3 linked regions of the Xenopus tropicalis genome follow. The protein of the gene in region 2 interacts with the protein of the main gene of each other region in a pairwise test. Links are inferred from orthologs where the notes say so. Each region holds a gene or a part of one and is shown on either strand. Other genes may lie near its edges.

What was found. The genes of interacting proteins can lie anywhere in the genome.
Region 1: the proteins of gabarapl2 (region 2) and fundc1 interact in binary tests that used the Homo sapiens proteins (3 or more experiments, as listed by UniProt). The two-hybrid records come from large-scale screens. The link is inferred for Xenopus tropicalis from reciprocal best matches to the Homo sapiens genes GABARAPL2 and FUNDC1.
Region 3: the proteins of gabarapl2 (region 2) and mlx interact in binary tests that used the Homo sapiens proteins (3 or more experiments, as listed by UniProt). The two-hybrid records come from large-scale screens. The link is inferred for Xenopus tropicalis from reciprocal best matches to the Homo sapiens genes GABARAPL2 and MLX.

What each region holds. Positions count from the first base shown.
Region 1 is NC_030678.2:55,862,823-55,867,054, reverse strand, and holds part of fundc1 (FUN14 domain-containing protein 1), read right to left. Parts: intron 3,962-4,232; coding exon 3,886-3,961; intron 1,434-3,885; coding exon 1,305-1,433; intron 264-1,304; coding exon 186-263; 3' UTR 1-185. UniProt on the Homo sapiens protein: Integral mitochondrial outer-membrane protein that mediates the formation of mitochondria-associated endoplasmic reticulum membranes (MAMs).
Region 2 is NC_030680.2:64,272,495-64,277,232, reverse strand, and holds the end of gabarapl2 (gamma-aminobutyric acid receptor-associated protein-like 2), read right to left. Parts: intron 3,124-4,738; coding exon 2,951-3,123; intron 1,706-2,950; coding exon 1,615-1,705; 3' UTR 1,141-1,614; downstream 1-1,140. UniProt on the Homo sapiens protein: Ubiquitin-like modifier involved in intra-Golgi traffic. Modulates intra-Golgi transport through coupling between NSF activity and SNAREs activation. It first stimulates the ATPase activity of NSF which in turn stimulates the association with GOSR1.
Region 3 is NC_030686.2:6,139,852-6,144,990, reverse strand, and holds part of mlx (max-like protein X), read left to right. Parts: intron 1-215; 5' UTR 216-223; coding exon 224-299; intron 300-1,882; coding exon 1,883-2,028; intron 2,029-2,947; coding exon 2,948-3,047; intron 3,048-4,259; coding exon 4,260-4,359; intron 4,360-5,139. UniProt on the Homo sapiens protein: Transcription regulator. Forms a sequence-specific DNA-binding protein complex with MAD1, MAD4, MNT, WBSCR14 and MLXIP which recognizes the core sequence 5'-CACGTG-3'. The TCFL4-MAD1, TCFL4-MAD4, TCFL4-WBSCR14 complexes are transcriptional repressors.

The sequences.
Region 1 (4,232 bases), on a different chromosome or scaffold from region 2:
TTAGGCACTCTGCAATGCCACGACCTCTTTGCATATAAGCATATACCACGAATATCCTAAAAAATAAAAAGTGTCTTTTTTTCTGACAGGCATTACTCAGTTTTTAAGTGTATTTTACACAACCTTTGTTCTACACAAGTTTAAGTCCATATTTCCAGATCCATTCTCCGTTTTCAAGTAGTTTCTTAAGAGGCAAGGCCTAGTAAGAACCCACCCACAAACCCTCCAGATACAACAATATTCTTCTTGATAAAGTCAGTAGACTGCAAAAGAAAAAAAGAAAAGAAATTAGGAAATTTGAATACAACACAAAATGCTTCAAGTTTATTCTTTTAGGCTAAATAAAGTGAAAAGTGCTTGTGGCCACGCCCAATAGATTTTGGCAGAACTGTGTTCACCAAAGCATTTCAAATCACTCACACATCTGAATTGATTTATATCACTTTTTGTTTGACAAGTTTTGTGGGACTTAACATAGTGAACTTCATTCACTAATAGCGGCTTTGTTCACGGTTATATGGACTACATATATTGCATCAGATACGTTCCTAAAAATAACAGGAACTGCAACCATATCACTATTGAACGGGTGGGGTAGTGTTCAGTGTTGGAATAACCCCATGCCAAACCAGGGATACCTTGGGGTCTGACACCACTTGCTGTTTCTCTGCAGGCATTGTCCAATAAGGCTGTAGCACTAGTTACATATGTACCCCAGCCTATAAAAGAGTCACACTAGAGGACCTGCACAGAGACACCACCACATGGTATCTCTAAGATGTGCAATAGGTATATATCTACTAATTATTCACCTATAATTCAGTGATACTGACAAACCTATTACTGGAACACTACTAACTTTATGCATATTTTGAAGGACTTAAATTTGTGAGTATAACACTGAAATGATACAAGAGCTGGTAACCTCTTGTAGGTGCCTCTGCCGCATACTAAATCAAGGGATTTGTAAAAGATAAATACACAAAAGGCTTAGCTAGGTGGTGTTCCTGTGTCACTTATGTCTGCTCTATTCTTCTGCAATAAAAATTTTTGGCTAGGTTTTCCTTTAGAAAAGATTGCATTTCAATAAATGGCTTCTGAAACACATTTAAAGGCACCAATTGTACAAAAATAATTCTTCCCCCAGCACAGCCTGATAGAGCCTGCACTCTGGATGGGAAAACAAAAAAAAGTGTATTGGGCTTTGGGACATTCGGAATGCGGTTTCTATAAGCCCACAGTTGCAGTAGGGGGGATAATATTCACGCAATATGTGCCCTTTAAGCAACATTTTAGGCTCTTACCTCTTCAATTAAAGTGTTAATTTCGGGTACAGACTTATTTGCTTCCTTTTTAATCTTTCTCTTTGCTTTGTTTACATCTTTCTCAACTCTCTTCCAATCTATTTGTATATATCCACCATGACTGGCAATCTGAAGAAAGAAAAATAAAGATAGAAGATTAGAGCATAAAGAATGATACAAAACCATACTTGTAGGTATGAAAATTTTGAGGTGTGGACAGTGGTAAATTTGCACCACATACGCTGCTCTAATGCTTCCTTCAACAACTTTTCAACATTTTTTTTTTTTTATTAATGGCTTCTTTTGCACCACCCTACTTTACATTATCCCAAACACAAGACCAAAGTAACAACGGAGAGGCTCAGTAAAAGTGCAGATCTCAATCAAGCTCAAGAACTTGGGGCATTATTAGTAAATTGAGGTGCATCAATGTAATTCGGCTAATGCAAACAATATGGAGAAAATCTGAATAAATGAATGAACCAAAATCAATTCTGAATGGTGTACAAAACTGGTATGTACTTACTCTAAAAGACTTGAAGCTGTAATTGCAGAAAATGGTTTTACAAAAGGACTGAATGAAACGTCTGCTATTTTGCTCACCCATTAGTATGTTGCAGAATGCCATATTCCTAAGAATTTTTTTTAATTGGTCTTCATTTTTTATAGTGGTTGCCTTATTTGTCTTTCGAATTGGGGGGACAACACAACCCCCGACTGAAAAAAGCTGAATAATTCAAAAACAACAAAATTAACTGCAGATTTTTTGATTGTACTTGGATGTAAACCTCTGTGGGACAAGGACCTCATTTCTCTTGTCTCTTTAATATTTAGCACAACTTTACTTTGTATTTATTTGCATTTATTATTGTAATGACCCTGTTTGTTCTATCAGTACTTATTGTTAGTACTGCATGCATAAGTAGCGCTGTATAAATATATGCTTACATACAAAGTGGCTCAGAATATTAATGTCTACATCATACTACAAAAGGACTGAACTACCAATTTCATTTTGTGTCAATATATTTTTTACTTTCAATGTGTTAAGTATGCGGTGTAAGTCAAATGGTTAAAATTGTGTTAAATAGGGCTAATATACCAGCTCATAGATTTACAGTGATAAACTATGTGTCCAAAGGCATGATCTGTAACTTTCATTATGGTGCCCTTATTGATTCAGGGGTGCCATAGTACTTACTGGCTTTAGAACTGTGGAATAATATTAAAGGAGGACTATACCCCCAGGCGCTAAAAGCCCCCTTAACTATCACTGCCTAGACCCCACTCACCTCTCCCTTATCGCATAGTTCCTAAGTTTAAACGCTGTCCCTATCGGTAACCTCTAGCTAAAAATGCAAAATAGCGCAGCAGTGTTCCTGGCCGATATCTTCTTACCAACTGAAGACACTTTGGGTCTTTCTGCCAATACGAACCTGCTTGCGCAGAATAAGGTAGCAGGAAATCAGCTTCACCTGCGCATGCGCAAGCAGGGTCTGTGTCAGCGGTAAGAACCAAAGAGTCTTCAGTTGGTAAGAAGAAGTTGGCCAGGTACGCTGCTGCACTACTCTGCATTTTTAGCTAGGGGTTAGCGATAGGGACAGCGTTTAAACTTAGGAACTATGCGATAAAGGAGAGGTGAGGGGGGGGTCAAGGCAGTGATAGTTAAGGGGACTTTTAGCGCCCAGGGCTATGGTTCTCCTTTAAGGAAGTAGGAGAAACTGCACAAAAGTAAGGCAAGAACAAACAAACCCCTTGCAGTAATCTGTCCTGGGGTATTTTTCTTCTTAGTCCCACCATATAACAGGCATGAGATTCGTTATCAGCAAACCTGCTATCTAGAAAGCTTCAAATTACGATAAGACCATTTCTCATTTTAATAAAATAATTTTTATTTATAAAAATGATTCCCTTTTTCTCTATAGTAATAAAACAGAACCCTGTACTTGATTGCAACCAAGATATTATTAATCCTTATTGGAGGCAAAACAATCCCATTGAGTTCAATTCATTTTTAAATTATTTTTTAGTAGTCATAAAGTACAATGATCCAAATTACAGAAAGATCCCCAGTAAGACACTAGCCATGAAGTAGGATGCATGACTGCCCAATGCCCCAGAAACCTTCTGGTGTCGTAGACAGCCTGAATGGGTTGTACAGGAAAATAGGAACTTTAAAGCAAATGTATTAAGTTACTGTGCATGAGCACTAAAACTGCACCAAAACTGTGGAGAGGACTGCTGAGCAACAGGAAATCATGGCAGAATCACTCATGAACTAGTACTCAGAGCAGGTGTCTAAGGTATTATATCCACTGAGGGTGTCGAACACATTCACACCCCCACAATGAATACTTGTCCTTTAATAGGTAACATGAGAGGAGTGTCAGCAATAGAATGGAATAAAAGTCAGAGAATAGGTATTTATTCCCCCAGGCCCAGACCATTTTTGCAATCTGCTACCCATAGTATCATTGATCACTGCAGAACTGTGTAAGGCTCCACATTTTAAGACATCACATCCTATATGTGTAAAAATCGTCACTTGCTGCCAAAAAATAAGAAAAATGTTATTTATTACCTGAAGCAAAAGGAAACCCCCACCTACTGCTGTTGCAGCAAGTTTGCCAACTTTTTGAAACAAAAATCCTGCACACCTATAAATAAAATAAACATATTTGAATACATTTAGCAGTTATATCAATATATACTCTAAGATTTCTAAGTCTGTATGATATATAAACATGCAAATCTGTGTATAAAATGCCCACAATATAGGCACATTCTATACTGTATTTGAATACATAAAAACTATCAGCAAAACTCACTTGTAATCCAGCAGCTGGATTATATTATTGAACCTTGCTGGAAACCTCTGTGATGCATCCATGCATGCATGTCTACTGAATGCGCTATGTGGCCGGGCAG
Region 2 (4,738 bases):
AATCTTTATTCAGGAGAGTATAACATTGTTCAAAATAAGCTGCTATAGGACAAAAGGTTGGATGAGATCGAACACGAATTTAGAATAAGAGGATACCAAATAAAATATCAAAGAAATACTCTTATGGGAAAACGTTTTTTGTTTTTTTTAAATCCATTTGAAATCAAAAACACAGATTTTTTTATATTTAATTTTGAAATTCCATATGGGGCTAGCCATATTCTTCAATTCCCAGGTTGCCACAGTCATATGACTTGTGCTCTGATAAACTTCGGTCACACTACTGCTGAGCTGCAAGTTGGAGTGATATCACCCCTCTACCAGCAGCCGATCAGCAGAACAATGAGAAAGTAGCAAGATAGCAGCTCCCAGTAGATATCAGAATAGCACTCAATAGTAAGAAATCCAAGTCCAGCTTGGGACTCCTTCAGTTACATGGGAATAGAAGAAACAATAGGTTACCTGAAAGCAGTTCTGATGTGTAGTGCTGGCTCCTTCTGAATGCTCAGAATTGGGCACAGAGATGGCGCCTACACACCAATATTACAACTAAAAAATACATTTGTTGGTTTAAGAACAACATTTTAAATGGTAGAGTGAACTATTTGCTATGTAAACAGTGTCATTTAGAAATAAAAAGTTCACCATAAATATCATGACAGAAACCCTTTCAAGGATCAGAGAAAATCACTAGCTGCAACAAAAGGAGTCGCCGGTGGAAAGCCCTATTGCGGGTGACTCAACCACTCTTCGTACCCTTAGGATGGAATCTCTCAGGAATTTGGGCTTTTAAAGGAAAAGTAACATTAAAATTTTTAACTAAAAAATCTATTCTACCCTCCCCCAATAATTGCCCTATCCTGAAAACCATTTGTTATTTTGAATGCTTTAGTAGAAAATACCTGTAAAAAACTTGGCTTCCTGTCATTTGAACAAAGGCGATATGGTGATGCCGGGGAAAGTATCAGGAGATGCATCAACTATGCGGCGATCGATTGATAGAGCCTAGCCTGATCTGTGTATAGGAAGGAGTCAGGCTAGGAATAGGACATTCTATAACATACTAAACATTAGCATAAAGGTGAACCACCCCTTTAACACTAAAATTGCTTTTGGTATGTAAATATCTTGGGACAGATATCACACAGAACATTTTATTGTATGATAATAATGTACATTTATTTGATGGATTTTGTAAAGTTGGACTGTTACATAGCAGTAAGAGGACGGTTACTGATTAATGGCGTATATTCTTATGAGTCCTATGAAAGCAGGCCTAAAATGAATCCAGGAGTATTCTGAATAAAACATACAATGTTCATTTACTCAAATCACACTTTCCATTATGTGTAAATGGCATAATATAACTGCTGCTAAAGGAACTGTCACAATACCCTTTAAGCAGCAATGTTAAATGACAGAACAAGAAAATAATAATAATAATAATAATTAAATTATCTTAATTTACTAGCCTAAACACAAACATGAATACCAAGACATGTGCATTACTGAAATGTATCCAGTTTTAGAAGTGTTTCCTAATGGATGGGAGTTTATGTGTGGTGTTAAAACAAAACCACCTATATTTACAAGATTCACTGGCTGTAACTAGACTCAAACACCAAATGTGTTCTCTCCACTGTAGGCCACATATAAGAATCCATCCTCGTCTTTTTCTTTTTCGTAGAGTTGTCCCATTGTTAGGCTACAGATAGATGAGAGTAAAGACAAAACATTTAGTTGAAAGTTTACTATAACTTCTTATTTCAGCACTGCAATCCATTTTATATAAAAATTATAGAAAAAATATCAACATAACATTAAAGAATGTCCAAAATGTATCTTAAGTGTGACCTTAAAGGAGAAGGAAAAGTAAAAACTAAGTAAGCTTTATCAGAAAGTTCTATGTAAATACAGCCATAAGAACTCACAGAAAAGCTGCACTGAGTCCTCTATCAAAAGAAACACAGGATTTTCTTGTCTTCTTTGTAAACATGTTCTTATGTCACAGACTTTCCTCTCTCAAAAATATCCTTCATTCCCGGGCCAGAGTCTGCACAGCTCTCTCCTCTCTCTCTTTTTCTGCTCCCCCCTCCCTTAAGAATGTGTAATCTGTGCGACCAATGGCTAGAGCTGCAGCAGGAAGGTATGAAGACCAAGCTAAAATGGCAGCTGCTATCTTAAACAAACGGAGGGAGCTTCTAGGGCTCTTTACTCAGGTATGGTAAAGCTTTCTGCAGAATAAATATAGCATTGTAGGTGGCACTAATGTGGTGAATCTATTGGCAGTAAAATGCCAAAATTACTTTCCTTCTCCTTTAAATGGAAAAATATTTTTCTTAGCAGCTTTCCAATATTGTTTAATTACAAATGGTTAATAGTTCTAAAGTTATCTGTAAATGTAGTTACTACTAAAAGCAGTATCTGTCCGGTTTAATTATATTCTCAAAAACTGCTGGTTCGGACTAGTGAAACAAGGTAGCAGTAGCCAGCTGCTAAACAAACATGGAGAACTGACTTCTGCTACACTGTTTCAAGACCCAGGACCAAAGACTGGATGGGATATTACATTTACATTTTCCTACATTATGTGGAGATGCTCCTCCTCCATCTGTGGAGGTATGGTAGTTTATCGGGAGGGGAATGCCAAGAATACCGGTTTCATTAATGTCTGAAGCAATTGCTGCTATGTCATTTTCTAATGATTTTAGAGGAATGATTACTCTGCTAGCTGCTTCCATTTAGTAGTTCCGCCTCACATGAGCAACTGCAGTGAGCACATTATGTAATGTTAGGGAATCATTACAAATAGATTTTCTTCTTGAAATGTTCAATACTTTTTTTGGGGGGATGTGTCTTGGAAGTCCTTAATAATTTTCCAGGCAGTACATTCAACCTCAGGTATTTCTGTGCTACGATAAAATACATGTTTGTAAATAATTCCACTCACCTAGACTGGGGCACAGTCTTGTCTACAAACAAGAAGATTGCTTTCTCTGATGGCAACTGAATCCGTTTTCTGATTATCCACATGAACTGGGCCACTGTAATGTCGGATGGAACCAGGTACTTCCGTTTATCGATATCTACAATCTGGGAACCTGAAACCTTTTCCACAATAACCTGGAAAACACAATAAAAAAAACTGTATAAAAAGTTATTATAAGGCTTATCAGAGGGAAAAATACATGGGTAATATAAATCCATATCGTAGAATGTTGTAAATGAGTTGCCTTCCTCTTTTAACTCTTTGCAGTTTTTAAATAAGGCTCACTGTTACTTTTTATTCCTTATGTTCAATGCATCCTACTCATATTGCAGTCTTTCAGTCAAACCCCTGCCTGGGTGCTAGGATAATTTGGACCCTAGCAACCAGATAGCTGCTGAAATTCCAAATTGGAGAGCTGCTAAACAAAGCTAAGTAATTAAAACCCCCCCACAAATAATGTAAAATGAAGCCCAACTGCAAATTGTCTCAGAATTTCATCATACTAAAAGTTAATTTAAAGGCAAACAACCCCTCTTCTGCCAGTTTCCCGGCAGTTAAAGCTGGGTTGGGGAGCTGCCTCAACTGTGTGTACTCCCGCAAGCTCTCTATAAGTTTAGTGAATGAAGAGGATCCAAAAAGACAAAAGATGACATCTGTCAACTCTGCTGCGCACCTCTGCATGGTTGTGATAGATTCACAAGTAGGAACACTTTTGAATGGAATATACTGTTATACATACATACATACTGTGCGGAGATGTGGTCCACTGGAGGCCAGTTAAGGGGGGCTGGGGATTGCGGGGGTTTAGTTCTCCTTTATGTTGTTATAGATTACATATAAATGTTTATAAATAAATTATTATTTTGCTGCCATGTAGAATATCCTGTCTTGTGATCCCTGTATAGCATAGATGGCAACTAAAAATACAAAATGTTTTTTTATTCAAACCGCATCAGTTTAATATAGCTTTTCCAGCAGAATCCTGCATTGAAATCTGTTTTTCAAAATGTAAACAGGTTTTTTTTTTATATTTTTGTAATTGTACAAGGGGCTAGCCATATTCTCTATTTCCCAGGGTGCCTCAGTCATGTGACCTTTGCTCTGATAAACTTCAGTCACACTTTACTGCTGCGCTACAAGCTGGAGTAATATCAGCCCCCCCCCATCCTTTTCCCCACAGCAGGCGATCAGCAGAACAATGGGAAGGTAGCAAGATAGCAGCTCCCAGTAGATATCAGAATAGCACTCAATAGTTGGCTGCCTACACACCAATATTCTTAAAGGAACAGTAACACCAAAATATGAAAGTGTTTTAAGGTATTTAAAATATAATGTACAGTTGCCCTGCGCTGGTAAAACTGGTAAGTTTGCAACAGAAACGCTACTATAGTTTATATAAATGAGCTGCTATGTCAACACGGGGGCAGCCATTGAAGCTGGGAAAAAGGAGAAAAGGCACAGGCACATAGCAGATAACAGATAAGCTTTGTAGAATATAATGGGGGTTTTATCTGTTATCTGCTAAGTAACCTGTGCCTTTTCTCCTGTAAATGGCTGCCCCCGTGGCTACACAGAAGCTTTATTATATAAACTATAGTAGTCTTTCTAATGAAAACACACCAGTTGTACCAGTACAGGGCAGCATTACATTATATAGTAATTACTTTTATACACTTTCATTTTTTGGTGTTACTGTCCCTTTAACTTAAAAAATATACATTTATTGGTTTAGGGCTCTGGCACACGGGG
Region 3 (5,139 bases), on a different chromosome or scaffold from region 2:
ATTGGTTACCATGGGTTACTGCCCCTGGGCAAAGTAAGTGCTTTTTAGTACACGCGGGTGGGGTAATGTTTAATTTGGAAGTAGAAAGCGGCCTAATAAATGCATGACGTTTGGGCAATAATCCAATCTGTTGATACTGTAAGAACTGGATCACAACAGACTTGGCATGGGTGCATTCATATTAATTTAGTATATATGATTTTATCTTTTTGCAGTTCCTGTCATGGAGCAGAAGGGAAGTTTAGTGTCCAGAGCAAACAGCATTGGATCCACAAGTGCATCTTCAGTGCCCAATACAGGTAAATCCTAAAACTGTTTGCACATGATTAACCTCACCTTCCACCCATTGAGGGTTGCTCTATTTTATGTTTTTATTCAAGTACATTTCAGGCTTTAAGATTAAATATAAATTCTAAACTGTGAAAAATATTTTCCAAAAGTAGTACAGGTATGGACCATGTTACCAACAATGCCCTGGACCTGGGGTTTTGCAGATAAGGGGTCTTCCCGTAATTTGGATCTCCATACCTTACGTGTACTAAGAAATCATTTAAACATGAAATAAACCCAATAGGGCTGTTCTGCCCCCAATAAGGGGAAATTATATCTTAGTTGGGATCAAGTACAGGTACTGTTTTATTATTACAGAGAAAAGGGAATCATTTAACCATGAAATAAACCCAATAGGGCTGTTCTGCCCCCAATAAGGGGTAATTATATCTTAGTTGGGATCAAGTACAGGTACTGTTTTATTATTACAGAGAAAAGGGAATCATTTAACCATGAAATAAACCCAATAGGGCTGTTCTGCCCCCAATAAGGGGTAATTATATCTTAGTTGGGATCAAGTACAGGTACTGTTTTATTATTACAGAGAAAAGGGAATCATTTAACCATTAAATAAACCCAATAGGGCTGTTCTGCCCCAATAAGGGGTAATTATATCTTAGTTGGGATCAAGTACAGGTACTGTTTTATTATTACAGAGAAAAGGGAATCATTTAAACATGAAATAAACCCAATAGGGCTGTTCTGCCCCCAATAAGGGGAAATTATATCTTAGTTGGGATCAAGTACAGGTACTGTTTTATTATTACAGAGAAAAGGGAATCATTTAACCATGAAATAAACCCAATAGGGCTGTTCTGCCCCAATAAGGGGTAATTATATCTTAGTCGGGATCAAGTACAGGTACTGTTTTATTATTACAGAGAAAAGGGAATCATTTAACCATGAAATAAACCCAATAGGGCTGTTCTGCCCCCAATAAGGGGTAATTATATCTTAGTCGGGATCAAGTACAGGTACTGTTTTATTATTACAGAGAAAAGGGAATCATTTAACCATGAAATAAACCCAATAGGGCTGTTCTGCCCCAATAAGGGGTAATTATATCTTAGTTGGGATCAAGTACAGGTACTGTTTTATTATTACAGAGAAAAGGGAATCATTTAACCATGAAATAAACCCAATAGGGCTGTTCTGCCCCCAATAAGGGGTAATTATATCTTAATTGGGATCAAGTACAGGTACTGTTTTATTATTACAGAGAAAAGGGAATCATTTAACCATTAAATAAACCCAATAGGACTGTTCTACCCCCAATAAGGAGGAATTATATTTTAGGCTGGGGGTAAATTCCCTGTCAATCTGCTCTGCTCCAAATTTCGATACCACTCATGAGAAGGAAATTATGTTTGAACGCAAACTGTGAAATAGCAATTGCAGCAATTTCTGGGCAGAAATCAATAACTTCTTAGCTGATAACTATTAGTTTAATTTGGCACTGTGCAGCACTCTCTCTTTATATGGTAAAGGACAGATGGTTGGTTTGGCTTATCATGGTGTTAAATAGCATCTATGTGCCTCACCGTTTCTGTAGCCTGCAACATGATGGACAATGCTTGTTCCCTAACCTCAGATGACGAGGACAGTGATGACCGCCAAGAGACCATAAAAAATGACTACAAGGACCGACGCAGACGGGCACACACCCAGGCTGAGCAGAAGAGAAGAGATGCCATCAAAGTAAGAATTGAAGGCTACATATTGGGGAAATAATCTGAAGACTGAGGGCTGTCTGCAAAGAATTCACTGTAGATATAACATAATGGTGGCCGGGGGGGCAGCCCCCATATCTACAGTGACTATGGGGCTTGGTGTGACCCCTTGTATCTGCAATGTATTTGCTGTAAACAGCCCATAGTGTAGTGGGCTTGATTATTAGATACTGTATCTATAAGGGTAAGGTTATATTGCAACGGCATCATACATAGGGTCCTGCTTGACCAGGATGGGGTGGGGGTATCAGAGACCGTTAAGAATAAAAGCTTTAGGGGTCATCATAAATTATCAATCAGAAAATAAGGTTGGCCTGTCATATAAGCTGATGCTACAGGGCCAATTAATCTGCTGCTAATTGCACTGGTTTCAGAGCTGCCATATAGCAATGATCTGTATTAATTACTAGTCAGCCTTATATTGTGACATTTATATTGTATATATACTGTATATTGTGAGTGGGTCCCTAAACTCAGGTAAGTGACAGCAGCACATAGTATGTGCTGGGAATCAGCAGAAATGAAGATGGGGGGCTACTGGGGCATCTTGGGGGGCACAGATCTTCCCTGCTAAAGGGCTGTGGGTGCCTTGGGCTGGTACAGAAACCCAAAATATCATGTACATTTACATACACCTAGTATGAATAGGTCCTTTTTTTTTCCTATATGGATTTATAATAGAATAGCATAGAGAGGTGTCGGCACTCATAGGATTTCCACGATCATATTGAAGAGAATACTCATGGGTAAATGCAAACGGTGAGGTTTATTTAGTCCTACGTTTCGGTTCCCTACTGGAACCTTCGTCAGGGAAGATTTATAATAGAATGTAAAGGGCTCTTCCTGGGTTTCTCACCACAATAATGGCTTCTGCCTGTATCTTGCAGAAAGGCTACGACGACTTGCAGTGCATCGTGCCCACCTGTCAGCAGCAAGACATCGCTATAGGAACACAAAAACTCAGCAAGGCTGTTGTTCTGCAGAAGAGTAAGTATTCTGCCCCCACAGTACCCCCCCCACACACATCAATGACAATTGCAACTGCCTTGTATTGATAGCTGTATGGTTATGCGCCATGTAAGGGCCACTTCTGGGTATGGTGTGGGGAGCAGTTATCAGCTGAAATGCTGCTTCGTTGGGATATAGCTGCATTTAGGGTAAATGGATATTATGATTAGCCAAACTAGCAATCTGCAAGCATTTCCAGGGACAGTACCTTCCTGTTCAACATGAGTGTAACAAATAGGACATAAGCCAGATATACTCTCTGCCTGTTGTTTTTATCACAAAAAAATTTATTGTTTTTGTTTCTTGAACTAAACAGGACAAATAGATATGGTTCTTATGAAGTAGAAGGTTAGATTACCAGTGCATAGCCACAGCAGTCCAACAAAGAGTGAAGGGGGTGGGTTGTTTATACAGAGCTTATTATCTTTAAACAAAAGGTGGCTATACATGGTACTGGAACCTCGCTAAACAAGTGGTCTTTCCCCTGATATGCCGACCTTGGGTGGGGGATATCGTGCTAATGCGATTTATTTGGCATAACTGAGCCAACAAGGTCCTTGATCCGACAGAAAAATCAAACCTGCCTGAACTACATCTGACCAATTTTAGGCCAAATATCGGTTGGGGAGGCCTGTCGGAGGTCCCCATACACGGCAGATAAGCTAAAGAACCCAAAAGGTGTATGGCCACCTTTATTCAGCTAATTAATGGTAAAGTGGGAAAGTTTAAAAGCCGGATAAGGCTCTGTTATTGAGTGAAGGGGATGGGTTGTTTATACAGACCTCATCTCTGGTTACGCTAACTCTGCTAATTGATGGTTACATTTTAAAGTTTGAAAGCCAAATAAGGCTCCGTTATTTTCAGCATGCGTTTACTTTTTTTTCTTGCTCATTTATTATTTATTACAAAAAAACCCCACACCCTATGCCGTGTATAGACTAATAGAGAATCAAGCCTTGATTTTTATATGATTAGAGCTGCCCATAGGCCAATGGGGGCAGGTTAGCGGGAGCGGGAAACATTTTATTTCCAGACAGTTCAGTAACGGTGTGGGTGTGTTGTACTGCGGTAAACTAAGGGGGAAAGAGGTGCAATTCATAAATGGGCAAAATAAGGGCAATAAAGCATGAAAGAATAGTAATGTGTGTTTTTTACTCAAGGGCATAATCCATTTTCCTGTCTTTCCTACAGCCATAGATTATATCCAGTTTCTCAATAAGGAGAAGAAGAAGCAGGAGGATGACGTGTCCACATTACGGAAGGAGGTCATGGCTTTGCAGATTATGAAATCGTAAGCTATCCATTGCTATTTGAATGCTTACGAAGGGGGGTGAATAAAATCTGTTTGTGGTTGGCTCACATTGTGCCCCCCTGTGCAACATGCGTGCAATGGAAAGGGCTTGTGCCTATTGTTTTAATCACAAAACATCTGTGGTTTTTGTCTTGAGCTAAACACGGAAACTGAAGCTCTTCCATGTTTGGTCTTTGTGAGGCAGATAATTAGATTACAACTTTACAGAGAATCCCTCTGCTTAAACTGGAGTAGAATCTATTTATATGCAGTTTCTACATACAGGACAAGGAAAGGAATAATTGTTTATATATGTCAGTTCTCGCCAGGACATGGGTAGGGTAAGAGGCTCTAACAGAAACCTATAATAAATGCCATAACGTTGAAGAGAAAGTCCAGTATCATGCAACTTCTATAACGGGGGTCCCCAACCCTTTTTACCAGTGAGCTACATTCAAATGTAAAAAAAAAAGACACAAGCACCGAGGGGTGCCAAATAAGGGCTGTGATTGGTTATTTGGTAGTCCCTATGTGGCCTGGCAGCCTAAAGGAGATTTTCTTTTATTAGTACATCTGTTGTTTTATGCCTCCAAGCCAGGAATTCAAAAATAAGCACCTGCTTTGGGGGCCACTGGGAGCAACATCCAAGGGGTTGGTGAGTAACATGTTGACTCCAAATGGAAACACAAGAAATAAGAAAGTCTATCTTCTAGACCAGTGGTCCCCAACCAGTGACCTCAAAGAAGGTGTTTATTTTAGAATTTCTGACTTAGATGTAAG